4 linked regions of the Arabidopsis thaliana genome follow. The protein of the gene in region 2 interacts with the protein of the main gene of each other region in a pairwise test. Each region holds a gene or a part of one and is shown on either strand. Other genes may lie near its edges. The genes, in order: RHA1, MYB117, HB34 and AT5G43540.

The links.
Region 1: the proteins of MYB117 (region 2) and RHA1 interact in a two-hybrid assay, tested with the Arabidopsis thaliana proteins (one large-scale study listed by BioGRID).
Region 3: the proteins of MYB117 (region 2) and HB34 interact in a two-hybrid assay, tested with the Arabidopsis thaliana proteins (one large-scale study listed by BioGRID).
Region 4: the proteins of MYB117 (region 2) and AT5G43540 interact in a two-hybrid assay, tested with the Arabidopsis thaliana proteins (one large-scale study listed by BioGRID).

What each region holds. Positions count from the first base shown.
Region 1 is NC_003076.8:18,537,570-18,544,109, reverse strand, and holds RHA1 (winged-helix DNA-binding transcription factor family protein), read right to left. Parts: upstream 3,446-6,540; 5' UTR 3,014-3,445; exon of another isoform or gene 2,608-3,013; 5' UTR 2,535-2,607; coding exon 2,319-2,534; exon of another isoform or gene 2,226-2,318; coding exon 1,404-2,225; 3' UTR 1,247-1,403; downstream 1-1,246. Other genes in the region: AT5G45720 (AAA-type ATPase family protein), read left to right, coding at 28-439, 518-581, 671-772; AT5G45700 (Haloacid dehalogenase-like hydrolase (HAD) superfamily protein), read right to left, coding at 5,914-6,540. UniProt on the Arabidopsis thaliana protein: Transcriptional activator that specifically binds DNA sequence 5'-AGAAnnTTCT-3' known as heat shock promoter elements (HSE). May be involved in general response to auxin.
Region 2 is NC_003070.9:9,268,241-9,274,414, reverse strand, and holds MYB117 (myb domain protein 117), read right to left. Parts: upstream 3,464-6,174; 5' UTR 3,383-3,463; coding exon 2,986-3,382; intron 2,733-2,985; coding exon 2,298-2,732; coding exon of another isoform or gene 2,287-2,297; intron 2,200-2,286; coding exon 1,952-2,199; 3' UTR 1,702-1,951; downstream 1-1,701. Other genes in the region: AT1G26790 (Dof-type zinc finger DNA-binding family protein), read left to right, coding at 1-558. UniProt on the Arabidopsis thaliana protein: Probable transcription factor that involved in boundary specification, meristem initiation and maintenance, and organ patterning.
Region 3 is NC_003074.8:10,939,065-10,945,050, reverse strand, and holds HB34 (homeobox protein 34), read left to right. Parts: upstream 1-3,217; 5' UTR 3,218-3,514; coding exon 3,515-4,453; 3' UTR 4,454-4,746; downstream 4,747-5,986. UniProt on the Arabidopsis thaliana protein: Putative transcription factor.
Region 4 is NC_003076.8:17,494,626-17,499,749, forward strand, and holds AT5G43540 (C2H2 and C2HC zinc fingers superfamily protein), read left to right. Parts: upstream 1-2,229; 5' UTR 2,230-2,367; coding exon 2,368-2,781; 3' UTR 2,782-3,069; downstream 3,070-5,124. Other genes in the region: AT5G43530 (Helicase protein with RING/U-box domain-containing protein), read left to right, coding at 83-205; AT5G43550 (F-box associated ubiquitination effector family protein), read left to right, coding at 3,267-3,638.

The sequences.
Region 1 (6,540 bases), on a different chromosome or scaffold from region 2:
GCTTTTCTAACTTCGTAGTTTTCGCAGCTCCTATGGTGCAGTTAATGTTTAATTCGCCAATAGCGAAATCAACGGCTGAGAATTTCGAAGAACACATTTTGAAAGCGTTTGAGGCTGTTCTTGGATCTCCAGTCACGTTAGAGATGAGAACCGAGTCGAAGAAAGACCTCGGTTTCTCGTCATTACAAGGTTTAAGCAACGGTGAGAGATTCCGTGAAAGCGGAAGAAGCGAAATCGTTGAAGTGGCTGACTCTGAATCTCCAATGACTCGAGTTAGAAGGAAACACTTGGAAGCAAGTCAAAACCAAAACCAAAATCAGAACCAGAGCATTGTGAGAGGAAAAGTTTCGTTGGCTCAAGTGATTAAACAAGCTGAAGGAAACAGTTGGTCGAAACACAAAGCTGTGGAGATTGCAAATAAGCTTGAACAAGAGAATTTGTAAGAACAAGATTAACCAAAACTTGTTCCTAAAATTTTTTTTTACAGTTTTGTTTGATAATTCGTTGGTTTTTGCAGGAAACTTGAACCAAGATCAAGAAGCTTGATATGTTGGAAAGCATCAAGAAGCACTCGTCGCAAGGTAAACACATTCAATTTCTCTCTATTCTTTATATATATGACTCTGTTTGTTGTCTTTGTGATTGAAAAATTGAAACTTTGAAATTGTAGCTATCGAGATTGAAGGTGAGAACAAGGAAGTTACGATTACATTCGTTGTTGAAGCTTGTCTCTTGTGGGAAATGTCTATCAACGAGATCTCCTCCTAGATAGTTTTGTTTCTTCTTCTTATTTTGCTTTACTTCTTTTCTTAGATCATAATGTAATCTTTGTAGCTATAGAAATTTTCTTGAATCTTTGATCAAGAAATCTTTATTTAGCTAAATAATTATGAGTTTTTATTTTTTATTAGGGCATGACAAAATTTCTTGCATTTTGTATTATTTTTGATGAAATAGTTGTCAGATAACTCAAAACCAATTGTTTCATTGATCTCCTTCGTTGGTTTGTTTGGTCCATCATTGAGTATATAGTTAATAAGAGTTCTATGAACATCAAATCCGATGTCGTCCAGCGGTTAGGATATCTGGCTTTCACCCAGGAGACCCGGGTTCGATTCCCGGCATCGGAGCTTTTTTAATTCTTTTTAGAATTTTGTTGTTTCTTTTCCTAAACTCTGTAACTCTCTCTTTGTTCATATGTTTGCTACAAACAAAACTGACTCTGTAAATTATATAACTGAAATATGAAGGCAAAGAAACCAATTCTGCATATGCATTTATGTCACTCCTGCCTCAAACAATAGAGAGATTTGTTTTTACAGAAACAGAGTAATAAATAATGAACACATACAATAATCTCAGTGGAACCAAAAGAAAACTATTTTACAAAAACCTCATTCATGTCAAGAAGCTTTCTCTGTAATGTTATTTACATTCCCTGAATTCCACCAATACGTCCTTTGATTTCCAATCTTATTACCATTATTATCATTACCGACATCTCTTCTCTCTGACTGAACTTCTTGTTGCTCGGTTGATCCAGGGTTCTCTGTCAAACATTGTTCCCAAAAGTCATCGTTAACGCCTGTTTTTGGAGCAGGCGCAGTAACGGTAACGGGCGGCTCTGAGTTCATATCAATCTTCGATGATTTGGGTCGTGTATCGCCAATACTTAGACTTGACTCAGCTGCATCATGATCCATGCTTGATGACTGCAAACCGCTCTTCTCGCATGATTCCGATACAAGATTCTCCCAAAACGTTAGCGAAGATTCTAACTTTTCGACCTGTTCTATGTGTGAACTGCTTGGAGGAAGAGAGTTCTCTTGAAATCTTCTTTTTCTTCTCTCATGGTTTTCGAGGTTTAGTGAAAGTCCTGGTTTTCCCAAAACCTGTGAAACATATGCCACTATTGATTTCTGATGTTGTTCCATATGTTGTAACCGATCTTTCAATGTCGTTACTTGCAGCTCAAACTCTTTCCGTTCTTGCTCTTGGTTCTGTAACTCCGCAAGAAGGCCTTCTTTCTCATTTTTCAGTCTTTCTATCTGATCCTCCATGCTCCGTCTTTCTGATTCCGTCAAAGGATTTTGCGCTTGTAGATTCACTAACGAGTGGCTATGAACCGGTTTTCGTCTATGAATGTTCTTCATAAGGTAAGGTCGACCTCTAACAAAATCATCATTCAAGAATTCCCATTTCTCAGGATCTACTTTTCGAAAACCCTACGCAAACAAAAACACAAAAAGGTTGTTAATCTTAGCGATGCAGCAAACACCAATCCCCAAAGAGATGAGATACAAAGACAAAAGCTTTACATATGTATTAAGCTGACGGATGAAACTTGAGAAATTCTTATGCTTGAAGAATCTCGGAAGAAGGTCTCTTGAAAACTCTGCTGGATTCTTGACGATGAAGCTTTTGTTGTTTTCGCTCCAAGCAACGACCGAGTCAGAAGAAGAATCATCAACCATTTCATATGTTTTAGTAAGGAAAGGTGGAAGTGAGCTTGAACCTCCATTATTTTCATCCATACCTTAACCACTTCGAATCCAAGACGTTTAAAACCAAACCCGAACAAAAAGTCCCTTGATTAAGTCTTATAGTCTGTTGGATAGAACAAGAAGCTGAAATCAAACTCAACTAGAGAGACTCATTGAAAACATAAACATTTAATTGCAACAATTCCAGTTTAAGACACAACTGTCAAGTGTTTGAATCAATATACGAATCGATCTCTCAAGCTTTAAGAAGCAAAGTAATAAATGACAATAAAAACCAAGACTTTTCCCTCACAAGCTTCGAAATTTATTGAATGGGAGAAACTAAAAAAGTCAAAACCCCTAATTTAGCTCCAAATCTATCCGAATCCGAAATAAGGGCAACACGAGAGAATGAATGAACCAAACCCTTTTGCTTCTACAACCAAATGATTGAAAATCAGAGAGAATCAATCAAAAATTCGAACATTTCTTGTCCTTTAATGTTTCTGATTTGGAATCATCAAACGTACCAGATGATGAGTGGAGAAGATTTCAGATTTGACTCGATCCCGATTGACGCAAATTGGGAAACAATCTTCAAAAGTCTCTTTGATTTGATTGATTAAAGGAACAAACTTTCTTACAAATAAGAATTGAGAGAACGTAAAGCAAAAGAGAAAATTTTCGAAAATTTGAGGATTGAAGGAAAGGTTTGATTTGGCTTCCAAGACCAAAGGGTTGATGGAAGCGCGTATGAATGGCAACAACAACTGTTGTGTCTAAAAGACGGGTTTGGTGGTTTATTATTATCAATCAACTCTCTTTTTCTTTTCTTTTTAATTTACCAAATATAATTTCATATAATTTGACCCAAAAAAAACATAATAAATTTGTAATGTTGTTGATCATTTTGACTTATGAAGATTGATCAAATTAAGAAAAATATGATGTTGTAGATTATAATAGGGAGAAATACAAATGAGAATCTATTTGTAATTTCTTTTAACTTCATTTTATTTTGAAAGTTGATTTCCATTACCAGTTCACTTCACTTCTTCTCCAAAAATTATTAGCGACTAAAACAAGAGAAACATCCTCCTTTAGATTCATTCAAAAATTTATCTAATTTTTTCTTAATTTTACATTCATCGAGTTTTTCTCTCTTCACAATTATTGTGGCCTCTTCCTCATCAAAATCAACAAAAGCAACTCCTAACAAAACAAAACAAAATAAAAACATTTGTAAACATTGTTTAATTTAGAGAACTTGCAGTTTATGGCAAAACATTTTTAGTGAAAATGTGTTATATATTGCCATTTTAATGTGTTGGTTATTATTCTATCCATCCATCTACAAAATATACATTATAAAATATTGGAAGTCACATACCAATTTATCATGTCCAAGTTTTTTCAATCAACAATGAATGAATGTATATTCTTGTTATTTACCAAATAAGTAAATGACTAAAATATTAAGCCTAATAAAATGATCTACATAAAATCCCTATATCTCTAACGAATGGTTTATTTTAGCTCAATACAACTACATATTTGGTTGAGTTGGTGTACCTTCACAATTAGCGATACATCGTAATGCGTCATATCTAGTCCCTTCGTCAATAGATCCAACCTTAAATTGAAGCTCCTCTTTCTGCAAACAATAAAATCCAATCAAGTCTTTTATAAATTTTTAATATACGCAATAACTTCGTCTAATATGTGTAGTTATATTTATGTTTTGTTGTACAAGTTTCTTACAAAAAGTAAAACCATTTTTCCAAAAACTAGGAAACTATAAAAAAAATTGAAAGTTTGAAAGTTGGTGATAGATGATCCAAACGAAATGTGATTGCAACTTAGTCGCTTGCTCATCAACCTCTATTTATATAGGATTATTGTAAACACAATTATTAGATATGCATTATGTAGTCTCAAAATAATTTGACATATAGTAATATTATATAATTGAGCTTTCAACATATGTTAAGATTTTACAATATACATATCTTAAAGATCTCTAAGAATATGTCCCAAAAGCCAAGTATTATAATAATTAAAACTTTAAATGGATATTAAAAATAAACATTGTTGTCCTCAAATCATGGTATAGTAAAATTTCTATAAATTAATACTCGATAAATTAATAATCTATATAAATTAAAAAATTCTTCCGATGCAAGTTGGAACCAATGTAGAATTGACACAAATCGATAAAACAATAAGATAATAAATTTTTGAAAATGTTATGTTAAAATATAGCCTTATCATTTATCATAAATTAATAATTGTATAAACTTATCAATATATATATATATGATAGTAATTTATTTATATATATATGTCATATATAGATTACTATAATTATATATAAAATATTTTAATGAAATTATGACTCTAATGTTGTTCATTTTTCTTATATTTGGATTATTTTTTGGTACAATTCATTTTTAAAATTTTTACTATATCAAAAAGTTTGTATTGTTTTCTAAACTTCATAATTAATTTTCTTTTTATAATTGGTTTTAGAAAAATATTGATTATATTGAAACCTGCTTTCAGATATAATTTTGTAAGAAATTAAAAAAATTAGTAAAATCTCTCCATAATTTAGTAATTATATATTAATGGAATTTCTAGAGAATTTACTGTAGTTTAAAAAAAAAAATCAACTTTCATTAACTTGGATCAATGTAATCTGAGTGCAACTCATTGGATATACAAGAAGGAATATGAAAATGAGATATGAAGTCTGAAACTTCTGTTTGTTGTTTCTTCGCTAAAATGTCTGCAGGTTTGATTTGTTGCTCCTAGTGTCCAATTGTCAATTGCTCAAATATTCTCTCCCATGCTCTTCTTTCATAGGTCCAGTTAACCAAATCAAATCTTGAGCTGCCTCCATTCAAGCTATTGACTAGATTTTTGCAGTCTCCTTCAAAAGTCAATTTCATGTAACCTCTTATCCATAACTTTTGTATTGCAATGATAAAGCTTTGACATTCCGCTTCTAAAGTGATCCAAAAAAATATTTAAAATATATTGATTGATCTTTTTTTGTTTTCTTTGTAATTATTCAAAACTACTGTTTCATAATATGGCTTATTAGTAAACAAAAACAACTTAAAAGTTTTGATATGTAAACACACCATTGAACAAAAAGCCCAATAAAGGCCCATAATTTAACTCTACCCACACAAAAAGTTCTCGATCTTGTCAAACTCAGTCCACTGTTCAAATTCAAAATCTTCATTAAAAACCCATTGATTCAATCACAAAGAAAAACACTAATCAAACAAATTAACAAATTGCTTATCACGAGGATGTTTTACACAAAGACAGATCGAACAAACAAAGCTATTGTTCATCATTGTCTACTTAATCAAATCCTCTTAATACAAGTAAAATCAACTAAACCGAAATTAACCAAAAATCATTCATCTCTTCCAACAAACTCCTTCAAAGCAACTCTCATATCTTCAAACTTGACACAATCACCATACAAAAACTCACCAAGTTTCTTCAACTCAACATCTTCCAAATCATCAGAAAACGGTTTAATCGGAAACGCATTCTCCGGTTGAAGCGCGTACGAGTTCGGATTATCATCAACAATCACCACGCGCCTCAAATCTCTCATCACAAACCCTAAATCCTTCACTAACCTCCCATCAATTTCGCTACACGCGTCTCTGTAAAAGCTACGCGATATCACGCGCCGCTCTGGATCCAATTTATCGAGCACTAACGACGCGTACTCTCTCAATCCCGCCGTGAAAACAACGATCTGGTACTTTTCTCCGATCTTCTTCAAAAACTCGTCGACTCCTGGCCGTTTGATCACGAAAAACGTTAAGATCTGACCGTCGATTTTGGGATTCACGACGAAATCATACGGTACTTCTGGTTTCTCCATTGATGAATGAACAAGAGTTTCGTCTAGATCTAACACGATCGTCTTCTTCGTCTCGTCGAATGATTTACCAGATCTTTCGTGAAACAATGAATACGGAGAATTCTGAAAATCTTCGCGAGGTTTGAGGATTTTGAATCCTTTTGT
Region 2 (6,174 bases):
ACAAAGATTCTAAGCTTCGAGTCTTCGGACTCTTTGGTAACTGAGAGGCCTAAGCATCAATCAAACGAAGTGAAGATAAACGCTGAACCTGTTTCACAAGAACCCAACAACTTCCAAGGGTTACTTCCTCCCCAAGCATCCCCTGTTTCGCCTCCTTGGCCTTACCAATACCCTCCAAACCCTAGTTTCTACCACATGCCCGTCTACTGGGGCTGCGCGATACCGGTTTGGTCTACCCTCGACACTTCTACATGTCTTGGGAAAAGGACAAGAGACGAAACTTCTCATGAAACTGTTAAAGAGAGTAAAAATGCTTTTGAGAGAACAAGCTTGCTTTTGGAATCTCAGAGCATCAAAAATGAAACAAGTATGGCTACAAATAACCATGTGTGGTATCCAGTACCGATGACCCGCGAGAAGACACAAGAATTCAGCTTTTTCAGTAATGGAGCTGAAACAAAGAGCAGCAACAACAGATTCGTCCCTGAAACGTATCTTAACCTGCAAGCAAACCCTGCAGCCATGGCAAGATCTATGAACTTCAGAGAGAGCATATAACGTTAAAGGAGAAAAGAAACTTTGTAGATACCTTTTTTTGTGTGATGAATTAACTTTTAATATCTATCTTATTTATATACCACAATCCCCATTTTGTAGATTATCCAAACAGATGGAAATGCTGAAGTGTAATGTCTTTTTTGGTAAATGTGGTTCGAAAATATTGTTTACTCCATTATTTGTATTTTGTAGTACTAGTGTATAAATTAATTGGAAAAAAAACATATGTGTGAATTTTCATGTAAAGGAGAAAAAGTAGAGAATCTTAACTTGGAGTCCTTGGTACAGAATCCATCTGATTGGTACAAACTAAAAGCTAAAGGAGAAACATAAAAGTCTCTTTCTTTGAAAATAAAATAAGTCTCTTCATTTGCGTATAAAGGGAAACAATAAGAAGAAAACACTTTAAGCACTTTTTTCCCCCTCTCTTTAAGCACTTTACTTTGGGAGAATTACTAAAATGAGTGGAAAAATGTTAATTAGTTTTAGAATAGTTTTTATCTTTTCGAAAATCACTTAATATTGACTTCACTCGGATGTTTGTTCCCAAAAAGAGAGACTCGAGAACATCTCCGAAATAGATTGGGCCTATTGAAGCAATTTCAGACCCAATGGGTAAATTAAAAATCTTCTCTACAACAACCTTTCAAAATCCGAAAAACCCATACATTTATCCACGTTATATATTATTTTAAAAACTCATATTCAAAACCAAAACTAATTTTTTTCCTTTTTTTTTAACCCAACCAAAACTATACAAAAGAACAATTCAATTTAAATTTTTCTTTTATATCTACAACATGGAAAGAATTACAAGAAAGAAGGGCATGTGTGGGTCCGCGTGACATGAGAGAGATACATAGGTAAGAAGCTTGAAGAGTTGGAAAAACGGTTTGAAGAGAAGAAACAAATGCAATGTGTGTGTGAGATTTGGTGAGCATGTTTCATGTTTGGCCTTTCTGTTGCACAATCTCTGCCTCAATTTTGGCAGTTCCTCTTCTCTTAATTACGCATCTTCGTCTCTTTCTCCAACTCCTAGAAACTCCACTCTTTTTAATTTCCCTTCTCTCTCTCTCTCTCTCGTTGTTATTCTCAACACGTCTTTAGCAATATTTCACGTCACTTCATCATAAAAGAATCAACTTTTTAAAACCAATCTCTCTTTGTTAAATATTTCTGAACGAGTACTACTAAAAACAATGACTTATCAAATGTTACACTAGACAACCAAGTGCCAACAACAACAATCTACAGTTTAGTAATTAACGTAAACGCAAGGACAAAGGCTAGGATCTGGTTTGTTTGTTTTCTAGCTACTAAAGCTAAATGCTATTTTTTTTGTAACCAAATTTAACCACTGTCGTTATCTGATTAACACCAATTTGTTCAACATTCACGCCGTCCCCAAGCCAAGAAAATCGAAAAAATGTGGTTGCTGCTTAGCCTTTTCGAACACCTCCTCATCTACCGCGTCCATTCCGATCCAATGCATTGCATCATTTGGCTCCGGTTTCTCTTGGTTACTAGGGTCAATGTGCGGAATATTGCATAACGCGTCTGACGTGGCACCAACGTTATCGCCGACCATCATTTGGTTGCCAAACATACTCACAACCATCGGAGGTTCATTGTTCTCATAACCTGAACGTTGTAGATATAACAAAAACCAAAAAAGAGTTCAAAATATGCAAAAGACAATTGAAAAAACTATTGAAAGAGGAGGAAGAGCTATAGGCTACCTTGAAAGCAATGGAAAGGCAACACAAGCTGGTTATGGTCACTCGTGATAGGGGCATTATTAACCAGGTGATGAGTCAAATTAAACTCGGGGAAAGGCTGAGCGAAGTAATGATTAGTGGAGATAAAAGAGTGGTAATTAGGGTTAGGGTTAGGATGATGATTATTGGTGAGGTGAGGTTTAAGTGGATTATTACTCATAAGCTTTCTCCTACGGTAAGCAGAAGAGTGTTCTCTATACTTACGAGCCATGACAACATGCCAATGGTTCTTCACTGAATTATCAGTTCTACCAGGGAAAAGCCTCGCAATCATTGCCCATTTGTTACCATAAAGCCTATGTGCTTGCATCAGCCTCTCCTCTTCTTCTTCTGTGAAAGCTCTTCGGTTTATCCTCGGGTCCAATTGGTTAAACCATCGTAGTCTACAGCTCTTCCCTTTAAAAACAATCAAGATTAAGTTAATAAAACTCAAAAAAAATTACGTTAGGACTTAGATTGGACATAGAAGGCTAAAGACCAAGAAAACTAATAAAAACAAAAATTGATTTTATCACCGGATCTTAAGAACTTGACAGATCCAGATGAATCAAACAAACTGGTTTTGATGAAATTTTGAAGATCTATAAGGTTTTGATTTAACTTGCTGTCAAAAGAAATAGAAAATAAATAAGGTTTTGATTTAACTTACCAGATCTTCCTTGAAGCTTTTCAGCTATGAGGTTCCAGTTTTGTGGGCCGTAAATGGAGACAAGCTCTTTGAGTTTAACATCTTCAGCTGGTCTCCAATGTCCTCTCCCCAAGACCGATGGTTTTGAAGACGACGAGGACCAAGACTGACCACTATCTGTTGTCTCCTTCTTACCACTCTCGCTGTTACTGAAATTAGGGTTATTATTATTACTCTCTTCTTCGTGAACCGCTACATCTCCAAGAGGACTCTTCAAGATTTCAAACTCATGACTTGTGTTGCAGTGACGATGATGATGCTGATGAATATTAATGTCGTTGAAAGGGAAGTCCCAAGAAGAAGAAGCTCTTCTTGCGACGATCTCATCCATCCACACTTGTTTTTCCGTTATAAACATGGAGTTAGTGTTGGGAGAAAGGAAGAAGAAGAGAAGTGTTATTGAGAATTAAGAGAGATGTCACGTCAGCTTATAGACATATACCATCGGAGGAGAAAGACTTATGTGAGTGCATTTGCATATTATATATACACGTACGTAAATGTGTGTCATAAATATTATTTTTTAAAAATAATAGAATATCTTTTGTATATAATGGTGTGTTTGTTACGTATGGCTTTAGGTATGTGCGTGTATGTACATGTCGCGACCGTGTTTTCTGACGACTGTTAAAAAGGGTTATGGACCGTCGTCACGGACTAATTCAAACGACAGAGTTCTTTGCATTTATACATTATTATATATATTACATATACACTACTGTAATAAGTAAGTACAAATGTGTATTATCGATATTCGATTTTGCTGTGGACTGTTATACATTTGTTCAGGTGTACCTAGTTTCATAGAAGTTAAAGAGTTTTTCTGATAAATCATTTATTAAATTTAAAAGTAACTAAGATTTGAAGACCAAGTTTTTTTCCATGTCCATAGATTGATAGTAATTGAAAAGTATGCAATAGTTTTATAGTCGTATTAGGGTTCATAATCAAACGATAACATTAATTACGCTGCTTCTCTATGGTTCCTTATACAAATTTCCTACTTTTATGAATAATTAATGTTTATCTTAGTTTGATGTATAAGATAGTATTTCCTCTTTTATTTAATGAAAACCAATGGATTATGACAAAATAAATTAATGTTGGGAGTGTCGACCTAAAAAACAATGAATGTAGAGAATATCTTGGACGAGTCCGAAATGAATCTTACCGTTATTAGGTGAAATTTATCCTCTATTAATCAATGCATGTTTTATAGGTGCAAGGTGAAAATAATAAAAGCTAATGAGATGAAAGAAAAAAAGCTGAAGCAGAACTAACTACCAAAAAAGGATGAAGGCAAAAAGAGAGTTTACCATTGGGGAATGAGTCGGGTCTCTTCTTAGCACAACCAATTCTCAGACAGCTTTTTCTTTCATTTCATTTTGGGTTCCTTAAAATTTACCTCTTTCTCTCTTAATCTCCACTTGTCTTTCATTCCTTTACTTTTTACTACCATTTTTGTTTCTGTGAAACCCTCTCTTATCTTAAAAAATTAACCACAATCTTTTTTCTTCATTCAATTTTTTTCTTAATTAAACATCGCTTCAATATACTCATTTTCTCCTTGTCATGTTGTATCAAATAATCTTGAAATTTTGACTGTTTTATTCTTTGTAGCAGTCTCATGGTTTTTAATAACGAGATATTACAATGCCAATTCAAAAAAACTCTCAACCCTAAATATCCCACATACATGAGGAATGTGGCCGTGTGGAAGTGTGTATAAGTAATGAGAATGAACAGTAAAAATGTAAAGAAATAACTTTTAAGACCTTTTCGTATTTGACCAGAAATCCCAATTGGCAGACGTAACCATTAAATATGGGATAAATACAGATACAAAAGGGGTCTCAGAACTGTACGATCCTCTGCACAGAGATTTAACCGAACGCACTACAAACTCTCTTTCTCTTCGTCATATTTTCTTTTTAATTGGTCAATCACTTTGAAATACACATTAATATTATATATGAAATATGAAATAAAAGGTTGGGTGAAGAAGTATATATGAACTATATAATTTTATGAAACAGAAAGTTATGCAGCTTTATTTAATTTTATATTTTGCAGAACAAACATTTATAAAAATTGTAATCAGTTTTTTTTTACCGTTTAAAATGAAATGATGAAATAAAATATGGTGAAACACACTATTAATTATGTTTGTTTGTAAGTAGAGCCACTAGCTAAAGTGGGACTTCGATTTGGTTGTTCTTTTGTTTTGGGCTATGAATCTATCTTGTTACTTTGTTTATATCCAGTAGACTAGTACTAGATTTTCGATTCTTTCGTCTAAAATACTAAGTTATTAAAAACATATGTTCTATTTACACATGGAATTATTTATAAACATGTTAAATATTTAAACATACCTTGAAAAGTAAGAAGAGAGTCTAACTTGGAAGATTAAAGGAGTTTGATGTTACTGCTTGATCGAGTGTAGTAGCTTGTTTTAGGGAGTGACTAACAGAATAAGCAACTAAATTACTCTGGAAACAGATGTATGTAAAGCTCATATAGTGAGGGGACAAAAATTATCTGAGGTATAAAATAGATTGCGATCTCATGGTCAATCCGTTTCGGTGGATATATTAGCTACGGTCCATGCGTGACTCAGTCCAAAATTGATTACAAGCTTGAACATACCTTTTTCAACATAGCATTAATATATACTTTTGTCAGTTTGTCACAAAAATACATCAAATGTGTAATAAGGAATCACTAAAACGTTGGAATTAATCCAAAGCTCAATTTTACTCGTCTGACATAATCTAATTTTTATTTTCTCGACCATTCTTTGACCCCATAGCCCATTTAAATTTCACCTAATTCACTTTTCTTGGAATTCTTTATGTCCGTCTACAAATTTTATCAACCTTAGTTATTCATGTGTTACAATGTCCCCTTGTACGATAATGTTTAATTTTGTTACACGTTTGGTCAGGTTTGTGTTTTACTCGAAAGAAAAGTTCGCTTTCAAATAGACTCTTTTCTGACGTGGCATCCATCTATATGTAATATGTTATGTGATTAGTGATCTTAGACTAAGAATAAAAAAGCAAAGAAATAAAATTACTTACATATGGGATCTTTTTTTATTGATTAACAAGAGTTTTTTTTCTTAGATATTTTAGATGTCCTCAATAA
Region 3 (5,986 bases), on a different chromosome or scaffold from region 2:
TTTTGAGGTTATCCAGACAACTAACTCAAAATCCATTCACAAGAAAGTCAAAGGCTGAGAGAAAAAGAGTAGATCGACCTCCAACTATGCAAAATCTTCCATCCAAAACATTATACATTTAATAATAACAAAAATCTGAAATTTAAAATATATAAGAATATGCAATCTAATGTTGGTGTTAGTGAAATCGTTGTGTCATTATCCAACTTAAAACTCACATACTATATGTTTTTGACCAAAACAAAATTAAAATAAGACATCGTTAAAAGATAAAATAAAAATAGTGAAACTTAAGTTACAATGAATTGTGAAAATGAATATATATATATATATATATATATATATATATATATATATATATATATATATAATCAGGAAATAAAAGATTAGGTTGGAAAAAAAAATTATAATGGAATCAAATTTTGGAAGAGACTAAGTGGAAAAAATAGTGAAACTAGTTTATGTATATTTCTTTATATTTACACACTAAATAAATTGTATGAATCTTAGTGTACAAAAAAATAGTGAAAGGTGACTATTTTTAAAATAATAAATAATAAAATGATTGTTTTTTAAATTATATTTGGACAATGACTATTAGTCTAGTCACTAGTCTATTTAGTATATTTTTCAACTAATTAAAAAAAAAAAATACGCAGGTGGTCCTCGTGTAGAGAGACAAAAATGGTATTTATCTTTTTAAGAGTATATTATTAATGGTTTTTTAAAATAATTTTTAAATTAAGAGACATGTCTTATAATGTCTTATAATAGCTTATAACTAACAAAAATCTCTTATTTAAAAGACTTTAAAACACTTTAGTTAGATATAAGACATATTTTTTAATTAATAGTTATGTTAAGATACCATCAATAAAAATTGTCTAAGATGGAGTAATATAGTAATTTAATATAGTCCATTGGGCCACTGAAACTTGTCCAAAATCGTTTTACAGTATATCACTAATTTGGTTCGGGTCAGCTAAAAATATGTTCTTAATCTCTCGCGGTCTAAGTTAATAGCCACAGTTAGAAACTAATGCATTATAGCTAATAAACGTACAAAAAAAAAATATTGTTTTATCTTCTTCTGATAATCTGATTCCTGATCTAGAAAAATGTGGTTCCATCATTCTTTCGACCAAGAAAATAGAATAATTCTTTATCATCAAACAAAAAAAACAATAAAGAAAACTTAGTCCCCAACATAATATACATCTTATTCTCATAATAGACATCATTAACCATAATTTTTATGCACCGAATCTGTATATCTAATCCATGTACAGAAATATTTGTAGTACGAAATTCAAAATACACATAGATGCACATAATTTATTTGTGACAAAAAACGAAGAAGGCAAAGATTGTTATATCGGACGTAATATGTGGTTTAATATTTCACGTACCACTTAACTGATGTTTGATGGTGGTGTACGAACCGATTGAGAGATAATTAAAAAAAAAAATCGAAGGATCATATTTTTCGTGTTTGGTTACCGATCGATAGGTTGAATTTCTCGGTCCAATGATGCAATCATTCGTTGGAAAATAATTTGTGATTTCAGAATCCAAAAACATGCGTACAATACGACCTTCTTATTTGCCAATTCATTTGTATAGTGATTATTCTCATCACTATGGTTTAGTCATCATTGGCTTTGTTCTGAAATGTTTTTCTTTATTTTTTTTGGTTTTAGCCGTATTTTGCTTGTTCGAAAGAAGGAGCAAGTTGTGATGCTCTTGATGTGATCGCCCAGAAGAAACTTTGGCCACCGACTTCGTTTTTCTCGGCGATGGTCGCTTGGTACGAACACATTGGCCTTGGCCCATGGCGTTTGCTTGATTGTTTGTACACACCACCGCACATGACAGAGAATCATCAAAATTTGAATATTTTAAATAATAAATATAAATTACATATATTTAGTAAGTTCCGATACTAATTTAGATTTTAGTCTATGACCTTGAATGACGGTAGTTTTTAGACATTAGGTCTTAGTTTTAAACCCAAAAGACCGAATTTGATATAGGATCTATTTATGGTAACCGAAGAATTTAACTGCATATGACTAAAGACATGACTGGTTTAATTGCAGCGGACGGGGCTGTGGTTTCGCTTGCGGTTGCGGAAATTTGCGGAAGCGAGATATTGTGGTTTCAAGCGTTTTAAACGACTAATTTAACGTTTCAAAATAGATGCATTTGCAGAAATCTTATGACTAGATGCAATAATAATTAAATAAATAAAAAAGATCCAAAATAAATATAATATATAGGATTAGATACAAATATGAAAAGATATATACAGAATTATATATATTTATCTTAATTACAAATATGTTGATTATTTATTATTATTTTAATATTTTAATTCAACCGCTACCATCCACAACTACAAACGTTTGCGGGAAGGAGTTTTTGAAATGTATTGATATCGAGCGATCCGAGCAGTATCCCGCGATTTATATGATTATTGTCAATCACTAACAATTGTTACCACATGTAAATGATGCGTTTGCATGTAGTAGAAGGAGAACCAATCAACCCCTTAACTGATGATGGCTGAATTTATTTTAAAGGTGGCTGAATGACTTCAAATGATAACCACTGAATTTATTTGAGATTATTCATTTTTCAATATAGTTACCTGCTGGTAACATATATTTCCTCCATTCATAATAATATCGTTTTAAATATTTTTATATAAATTATTAATATATATTATATTTTAAAAACCAAACTGATTCATACTTTATAGATTTTACATTGAAAATTTAGAACAATACTTATTTTGGAAAAAATCTTTAAACAACAAAACAGAATAAGTATTTTTTTTAATATTATTTTGTGAAAAACAACTATTTAGTTTACAATAATACCTAATAGTATAAGTAAACTTTTACAAAGTTGTTCGGTAATTACATTGTAATAGTCAAATATACAAAATGCTAAACATATTTTAACAGAAGGAACAAATATTAGAATAAAGTAAAAAGAAGCCAACTTCAAAAAAAAACAAGAAGTGTCACAATGCATGAGAATATTAATTATAATTGGACTGTCTTTAGGTTTAAGACATTTATTACTCTATATATATTTCCCCACTCCCTATTACAGGTCCCACTTTTAACCATACATTTAACCATAGTTAAATCATCAAACCCTACCTTTCTCTGTTAAACATCTTCAAGCTCTGTCCTTTTATTTTAAATATATTTATTATTCACATTTATTAACATTTTTATATCTCTCCCTATTAAATTATTTTATTCTCTCTTAGCAACATTCATCAACCAGAGCAGATTCACTATCATCATCTTATAACACATCTTCTTCCTCTAAAGTTTATTTTCTTAAACTTATTACAAAAAACATGATCTTCAAAAGTTGATTTAATCTCTTTTTATCCATCTTCTTCTTCATTTCTCAATATCAAACTTTTCTTTTTTTGTAAGCTTAACATAAACCCTAATATTTTCTTGATTTTTTTCAAGAAAATAAAAACATAAAGATGCTTGAAGTTAGATCAATGGATATGACTCCAAAATCACCAGAACCCGAATCCGAAACTCCGACCCGGATCCAACCAGCTAAACCAATCTCTTTCAGTAACGGAATCATCAAACGCCACCACCACCACCACCACAACAACAACAAAGTCACTTACAAAGAATGTCTCAAGAACCACGCGGCGGCGATTGGTGGTCACGCGCTTGACGGTTGCGGCGAATTTATGCCGTCTCCTTCGTCAACACCTTCCGATCCAACTTCTCTCAAGTGTGCAGCTTGTGGTTGTCACCGTAACTTCCACCGCCGTGAAACTGACGATTCCTCCGCCGTTCCACCACCGTCTCTTCTTCCATCTTCAACAACAACCGCCGCAATTGAGTATCAGCCTCATCACCGTCATCATCCTCCTCCTCCGCTAGCTCCTCCGTTACCACGTAGTCCTAATTCATCTTCTCCGCCGCCTATCTCTTCCTCCTACATGCTTTTAGCTCTCTCCGGTAATAATAAAACCGCACCGTTCTCAGATCTAAACTTCGCCGCCGCGGCTAACCATCTCTCCGCCACGCCTGGCTCGAGGAAGCGATTCAGGACGAAGTTTAGCTCAAATCAGAAAGAGAAGATGCATGAATTCGCCGATCGAATCGGTTGGAAGATTCAGAAACGTGACGAAGACGAAGTTCGTGATTTTTGCCGTGAGATCGGAGTTGATAAAGGTGTTCTCAAAGTTTGGATGCATAATAACAAAAACTCCTTCAAATTCTCCGGCGGAGGAGCAACCACCGTGCAGAGAAACGATAACGGTATCGGCGGCGAGAACAGTAACGATGATGGAGTTCGCGGTTTAGCTAACGACGGTGACGGTGGTGGTGGGAGATTTGAGAGTGATAGTGGAGGAGCTGATGGTGGCGGAAACGTAAACGCCTCGTCGTCTTCGTCGTGAAGAAGAAAACATCATGTCGTTTTGCAGGGAAAGAGTTATAATAATGGAAGCTTAAGCTTTGTTTTTAGCTTTAGATCATAGAGAGTAAGCACTGGTATTATTATCGTTAATACGTTTTATTAATATTAATTAAACTCTTTTAGCTCTTTTTTAATTTTCCAATTTTATTATAATTTCATTACCACGACGTTGTCTTATTTTTCCATTTAAAGTAAGTTTATATCAACAAATTGGATTATGTTATAATAAGTCAATTTTGGTTAATTTAATGAACCCTAATGAGGAAAATTTTATAACTTTAATGTTTTTTTTAATAATATGTTTTTTGGCTTCTTATCTTAAAAGCATTTTGTCTTTTTAAATTGTAACGTTCCCAAAGGTTTCATAATACTTTTCCACTAATGGAAAGATTATATGAACTAATCACCCGAATTAGTCACAACACTATAGGTCAATTTAGGTAATCAAACGAACCCTAAAATGTGAGTCCCAAACATAAATAAACTATTGCAATTTAGTTAATTATTTAATATTATTTGATGGTTTCTTATCTTGAAGAGTACTTTGTCGCTTAATTTAATATGCGATCAAACTAAGATCTAGGTGTCCTTTTCATAAATCTCTCTTTATTCTTTGAGAAAAGAGACAGGTTTTGTTTTATATATTAATTATTCTAATAATATATTTTGCAATGATTAGTTATCTTGGTGTCTAATTAACAAAAGATTCATCGGATAATTCATTTTAATTTCCTCATTAATCCATTTCTTTATCATCCTTACATTCCCACTATCCGTTTTTGGTATATATGCTCAAGTGTTCGATATTCTTAAAGTGCAAACTACAAATAAGTATATATTATATAATTGGGATCTAACTATTATTATTAAAGTGCTATATAGTGTTAATTTAGGGCGTGGAACTAATCATTAACTTTACGAATAATTTAAATAACTTTCTAACTGGGAAACGTAGAAATGCAGCCGTGATTATGCGATAGGCTTAAGACAATTAGATACTAGTCGTGATTAATAAATGTCGGCTTACCAAACATAAAATATTAATAAAACTGTAATTAGATTAGAATATTGCATGAGAAAGCACAAAATATGTTATGTAGTATGCTTTTGGTGTCTAGGATTTAATTCTTAGAGAATACGTTTTGTCTAATTAGCTAGATTTATGGATAAAACTATCTAAAGATGTATAATATAATGTAGATAGAATATCTGGGTTTCTATGTGAATTGTCAATTAAATTTGACCTATGAATGAATATATGCAATGAATTTTATATTACAATAGAATTGTTTGTTGTGCATTCGTTTGTAAATACTAAATAGGTAGTACTATTAATTATGTTTTATAAAAAAAGAAAATTTTGGATTATATTATCATTATGGTTTTAGAAAATCAAATTATTTGTTGAATGATGTTGTAATAGAATAAAAATCTAAACAGTGATAATTCACTTGATTACAGAAATTTATCGAAAAAATCTGAGGTTCAAGTTTTTACTTAAGAAAAATGGTTT
Region 4 (5,124 bases), on a different chromosome or scaffold from region 2:
CAACTTTCTCTGAGTTTCTAGCATCGTAAGCAAGATCTCGTAAGTAAGTAACATTGTGTTTGTTTTGGATGATTGTGTGCAGGATACAGTGGAGGAACGGATGCAGCAAGTTCAGGCAAGGAAGCAGAGGATGATTGCCGGAGCTTTGACAGATGAAGAAGTCCGGTCTGCAAGACTTGAGGAGCTTAAAATGTTGTTCCGATGAGAGACTTGGAGAAAGTCTTCTTTTTAATCGTCTTTTGAAGTTAGAGAGTCTTCTTTTTGTTTTTTTTCATGTAAATATTGGTACAAGTTATTTATCTTTCTCCCCTAATGAGTTATAAGTAATTTTGAACACTGATTGTCTCGATCCACATATTGTGTATATGAACAGTTGAACGTGGATTATGTAATTTTGAAACATCAGTTACGATCAGAAAAACAGACAAAAAAAAAGAAACCAGTTTGGAAAAAGCAGCTTCAGTGGTTTAGATCAGTGGGTCAAAGAAAGATGTGGCAACAAATCTGGTCAAGTTTTTCTCACCATTCCTCTGCTTCTGCAGATGAGTAACTACTAAACTAAGTGCCGTAACCTACAAGCAAGATTCTAATGATTTTGTCTTATATTGTTCCGTAACAAACTACGTGTAAAATACGGCACTGCCAAAGCTACATAATCAAATTTCAGAAGCCAGATTTTTCCTATGCAAATATTGTATGAGTATGATATAGCTACAATCTACATAAGCTACTTAACAAATATGTTAGGTTTTGTCGATTTTCGTCTATCCGATGAATCTAGTCATGAATCAAAAAGTACTAGTGTATACAAATATATTTGCAGGTTGCAACCAAATTATATAGAGAGACGAACATCCAGCCTGGAAACGTAATGTAAGAAAAAAGGAAAAAAAAAATCACTAAAGTAACAAAAAGTGCACCAGCCGGGAATTGAACCCGGGTCTGTACCGTGGCAGGGTACTATCATGCCACTAGACCACTGGTGCTTTTTGCGGAATGTTGTGGAACTAGGATTCTAAACTAATGATGGAAAGCAGACCAAACCCAAACAAACCGGATTAGGTGTACATGTAACGTAATCAATCAATGATGTGGCAGTAATTAAACGAATCAGTGTACTCGAGTTGCAATCAAATGACATCTTCATTTTTTCGAGCTGTTTAATCAAGAAAATACTATTTACGATCACCTAAGCTAATATTTATTTTTAGCCCATAAACTAAAGTTTAGTTTTGTACTCTATTATGTCTATGTTATCTTTATCTCTTTGATAAATTTTTGAAAGTTTATGACTTATGAATTATGATAATTCGTTTTCATCAAAATATTGTTTTTGTTTTAGTAAAAAATGATCGTTGTGATATTTTGTAGTAGAAAAAGTAAGCAGTCAATCGAGACCTAACTTTTAAAAACGTTTTGCGATAAAAGGTTAGATTATTACAAGACAAACACAAAAGGAATATTTTATAAATTAAAATATAATAACACGATTGATTTAAACCACTCCCTTGCCTTTTAATTGTCATCATTTCTTGTAATTTTGTGGACTAATTGAAGAGTTTAGTTGAAGTTGATTTGGATTTCAGTTAACTGGATTAATGTGAGGATTGGTTTTATCTGATTTATAATCAAATCTTTAATTTGTTATGTCTCTTTCGATATATATTTTGTTTTATGTTCGTTGCTTTGTGTTTATATACGAGTATTGTATTGTAAACAAAACTACTAGAGACGATAGTAAATATTGTTTTACTGATTAAAAAATCATAATCTTATAATTTATTCTACATGTGTATTTTTGTTGGAAACAAAACTGTAAAAGTTTTAGATAATTGTGAGATCATCACTACTCACAAAATAAATATATTTTTTCACTGATTTACTAGAGAACCAATTGAATAACATGGTCTAAACGTAATTTTTGAGGAGCAATACCTTCTAGTGGTATAAATTTATTTTGCCTCTTAGATTTAGCTATATAAACTTTCTATTATTAGCAAGTTAATAATTAATAATAGGCTACATTTATAATCTAGATATAAATAATACATGAGAATAAATAAATAAATAAATCCTTCAAATACGGTGATAGTTATAAGAAAAAATTGGTACATAAATATACGAAGAAAGAAAAAGCCAAATCATGTCTTCCAAACATATAAACACACATCAAGAAAAGTATTATTAGTCTTATATATAAATTTTGTTTCCTCTATCATATAAACCATCCTTATATGCACTCAACACATTTGACAACTCTTTCATCTTTCATCTTCCCTTAAAGTCCTATATTTCGGGTATCAATATTTCTTCAAAATATATATCCCTCGATCGATCGAGGCAACACACACATATATATATATATATATGGAGTGTGAGAGATCATCGTCGTCCACGTCATCAGAAACCGGAGCAGTCAGGCACCGTCGTACGTCGTCGTCGTCAGTCTCCACCGTGACGAGACGAATGTACGAGTGCACTTTCTGCAAAAGAGGTTTCACAAACGCACAAGCTTTAGGTGGTCATATGAACATCCATCGACGTGACCGTCTCAACAAGGCCAAGGTGCAAAACGATGCTGACGTGGCACTCTCGCAAACTCATAGATGTTTCCACGTGGCGTCTGACCTTGGAGGCTACGAGCAAGTAGACTCCGTCGTGTTGAGGACGACGACCTCGAACTACATCCAACACTTACGAATCGGCTCGATGGCTACAAGGAGAGAAAACGTCGTCGTTGAAGGAAATGAAATCGATTTGGAGCTGCGTCTTGGCTTATGATCATCAACTTCTTACCCTCTATAGATGTATAATAATACGTTTTTTTGGTGTATATTATATGGTTTTCGAGGTTGATATATGTAATCTAGGAAAGCGTATATGAGACTATAATATGTCAAGGTAAGATATTTTTGGTGGGTATTTATTTATGCATGTTTTGTGATCTATCTATGAGATATATATAAATCTTTTATCTTATATCATATTATTTTCATTATAGTTTTTTTCCATAACATAGTGAAATCTGTCCCATAATTAATTAATTGTCCAGATCTTCGCATTCTATATATAAAAAAATTTGGCAAATAGAAAATCTGTCCCCTGTAAACGGATTAATATGCTGCACCCGTGGTTCTAGGATTGCGGTTTTTAATCCCACCACTGGCGGTTTGGTGGTATTGCCCCATGTTAAAGCCAACGGAAGAGACATCTACACACGTCTCGGATACGATCCTGTCGATGATCAATACAAAATTTTGTGTGTGATGATGTTCCTTAAGTGTGACGACGGCCATAGACAATACGTTATAGAACAAGAGCATCTGGTTTTATCACTAACATCACACTCATCGTCGTGGAGAAAGATCGAGATCTCGGGAGATGCTTACTCCTACTTAGAAGGTGGGATTTGCATCAATAGTGCTATATACTATGGTGTTGGACATACAAAGATAGCTAGATTTAATATTAGATCCGAGAAGATAATGTTTATTCAAGCACCAGAGGATTATAATGCAATCTCATGTTATTCAACCCTTACAAATTACAAAGGAAAATTAGCATGTGTAAGCTATGACTCCTATTGTGAATCTAAGTTGCGTGTATGGATTCTACACGATGTTGAGAAAGAAGAATAGTCAAGCATCATGACTTGTGTTGTGCCTTGTGACAAGGAGCTATCTTTGTGCAGTGGAGAGAGTCATAACAACGAGGTTGTAGTGGTATCTAGATGCTTAAAGTCATCTAAGCACTTTTTTGTTTACTATTTCGATATGGTCAGAGAGAGTATCATCAGAAGAATTGAGGTTGAGATTGATGGAATCGCCGATTATGAGTTTAGACATATCAATGGAATTGGTAAACATGCTCCTAGGATTTTGTGTTTCCCTGGTCACATTGAGAATCTTATGTACTTGTAAGTTCTAAGTTCTACTCTACCATAAGTTCATTAGCTTCTATTTTCATTTTTAGCCGTTTCAAATCGTTTTTTGTAGTTTGGTTACTTGTTCATGGACTCCTTTTAGCCGTTTGTTTTCTCGAACGCCACAACTACGTCTACCATTAGTCATGGACTCATGGTGATCACCTAATGTAAATGAAGCACGAGTTTACCAAATTACAATGACTGTAAATTAATATTTTCATTCAGTTTGAATGGTCAACGCAAATACGGCATTTCTTTAGATGGGCTTATAACGATAATGGGTTACGAACGGCTTATAGCCCATTCAAAGTTCTTATCTTTCAATTTCAAGTAATTTGCTTTCAAGCCCTTCGAATCTACCAAATTCCAATGACTGTAAATTATTTTTTTTTCCCCTCAAAATACATATTTACAAATATTAATTTACTTATGTATACAGACATTAAAAGGCACTAAAATAAGCTAATTATCATGATATAAAAGTAACTCAAGAGGAAAAGTAACTAAGCTTACATGTAATTCATAATTAGGTGACATCAAATTTACTATTTTTTAATTTTCTGCTGAATTTTTTTATTTATTAAATATACTTATTAATATCGAGATGTCTAATAAATATGAGAGAGTGTTTAAAAAAGAGTTTAGACATCGACATGAGACAAACAAAAAATGAAAAATAGTGGTACAAAATACAGATATATAACTTGAAAAAATAAATATAATTTATCAACACAAATACAAGTCCTAATCTGTTATTTATAAATTAATAATCTCAAAATATTACTTTGATATAAAATCAGTGTTCGTGTAATCTATCATTTATGCGATTTTTTAAAGAGATAACAATTTTTTTTTCTTTAGTGAAACATTAATATACCGTTTATTTAGTATGTTAAGTACTTTAATAAAACTCTTTAACAAAACAAAACAAAGTTAAGTATTTTTTAATATATAAGATATTTCTCTGCATGATCCAGGTGGAATTTTTTTAAAAGTTAACAATAGTTTTTTTTTTATAGTAAAACATGAATTTTGTTTGATTATTCCATTAGATAACAACTATTTTTCTTCTTGACAAAAAAGACAAATTTTTTTTAAGTAAAACGTTAATATCTCGTTTGTTTTATTCCGTTAAATAATTGAAATATATAAAATATTTTCCCGCATGATTCACGTGGATTTTTTTAAAAGGTAACATT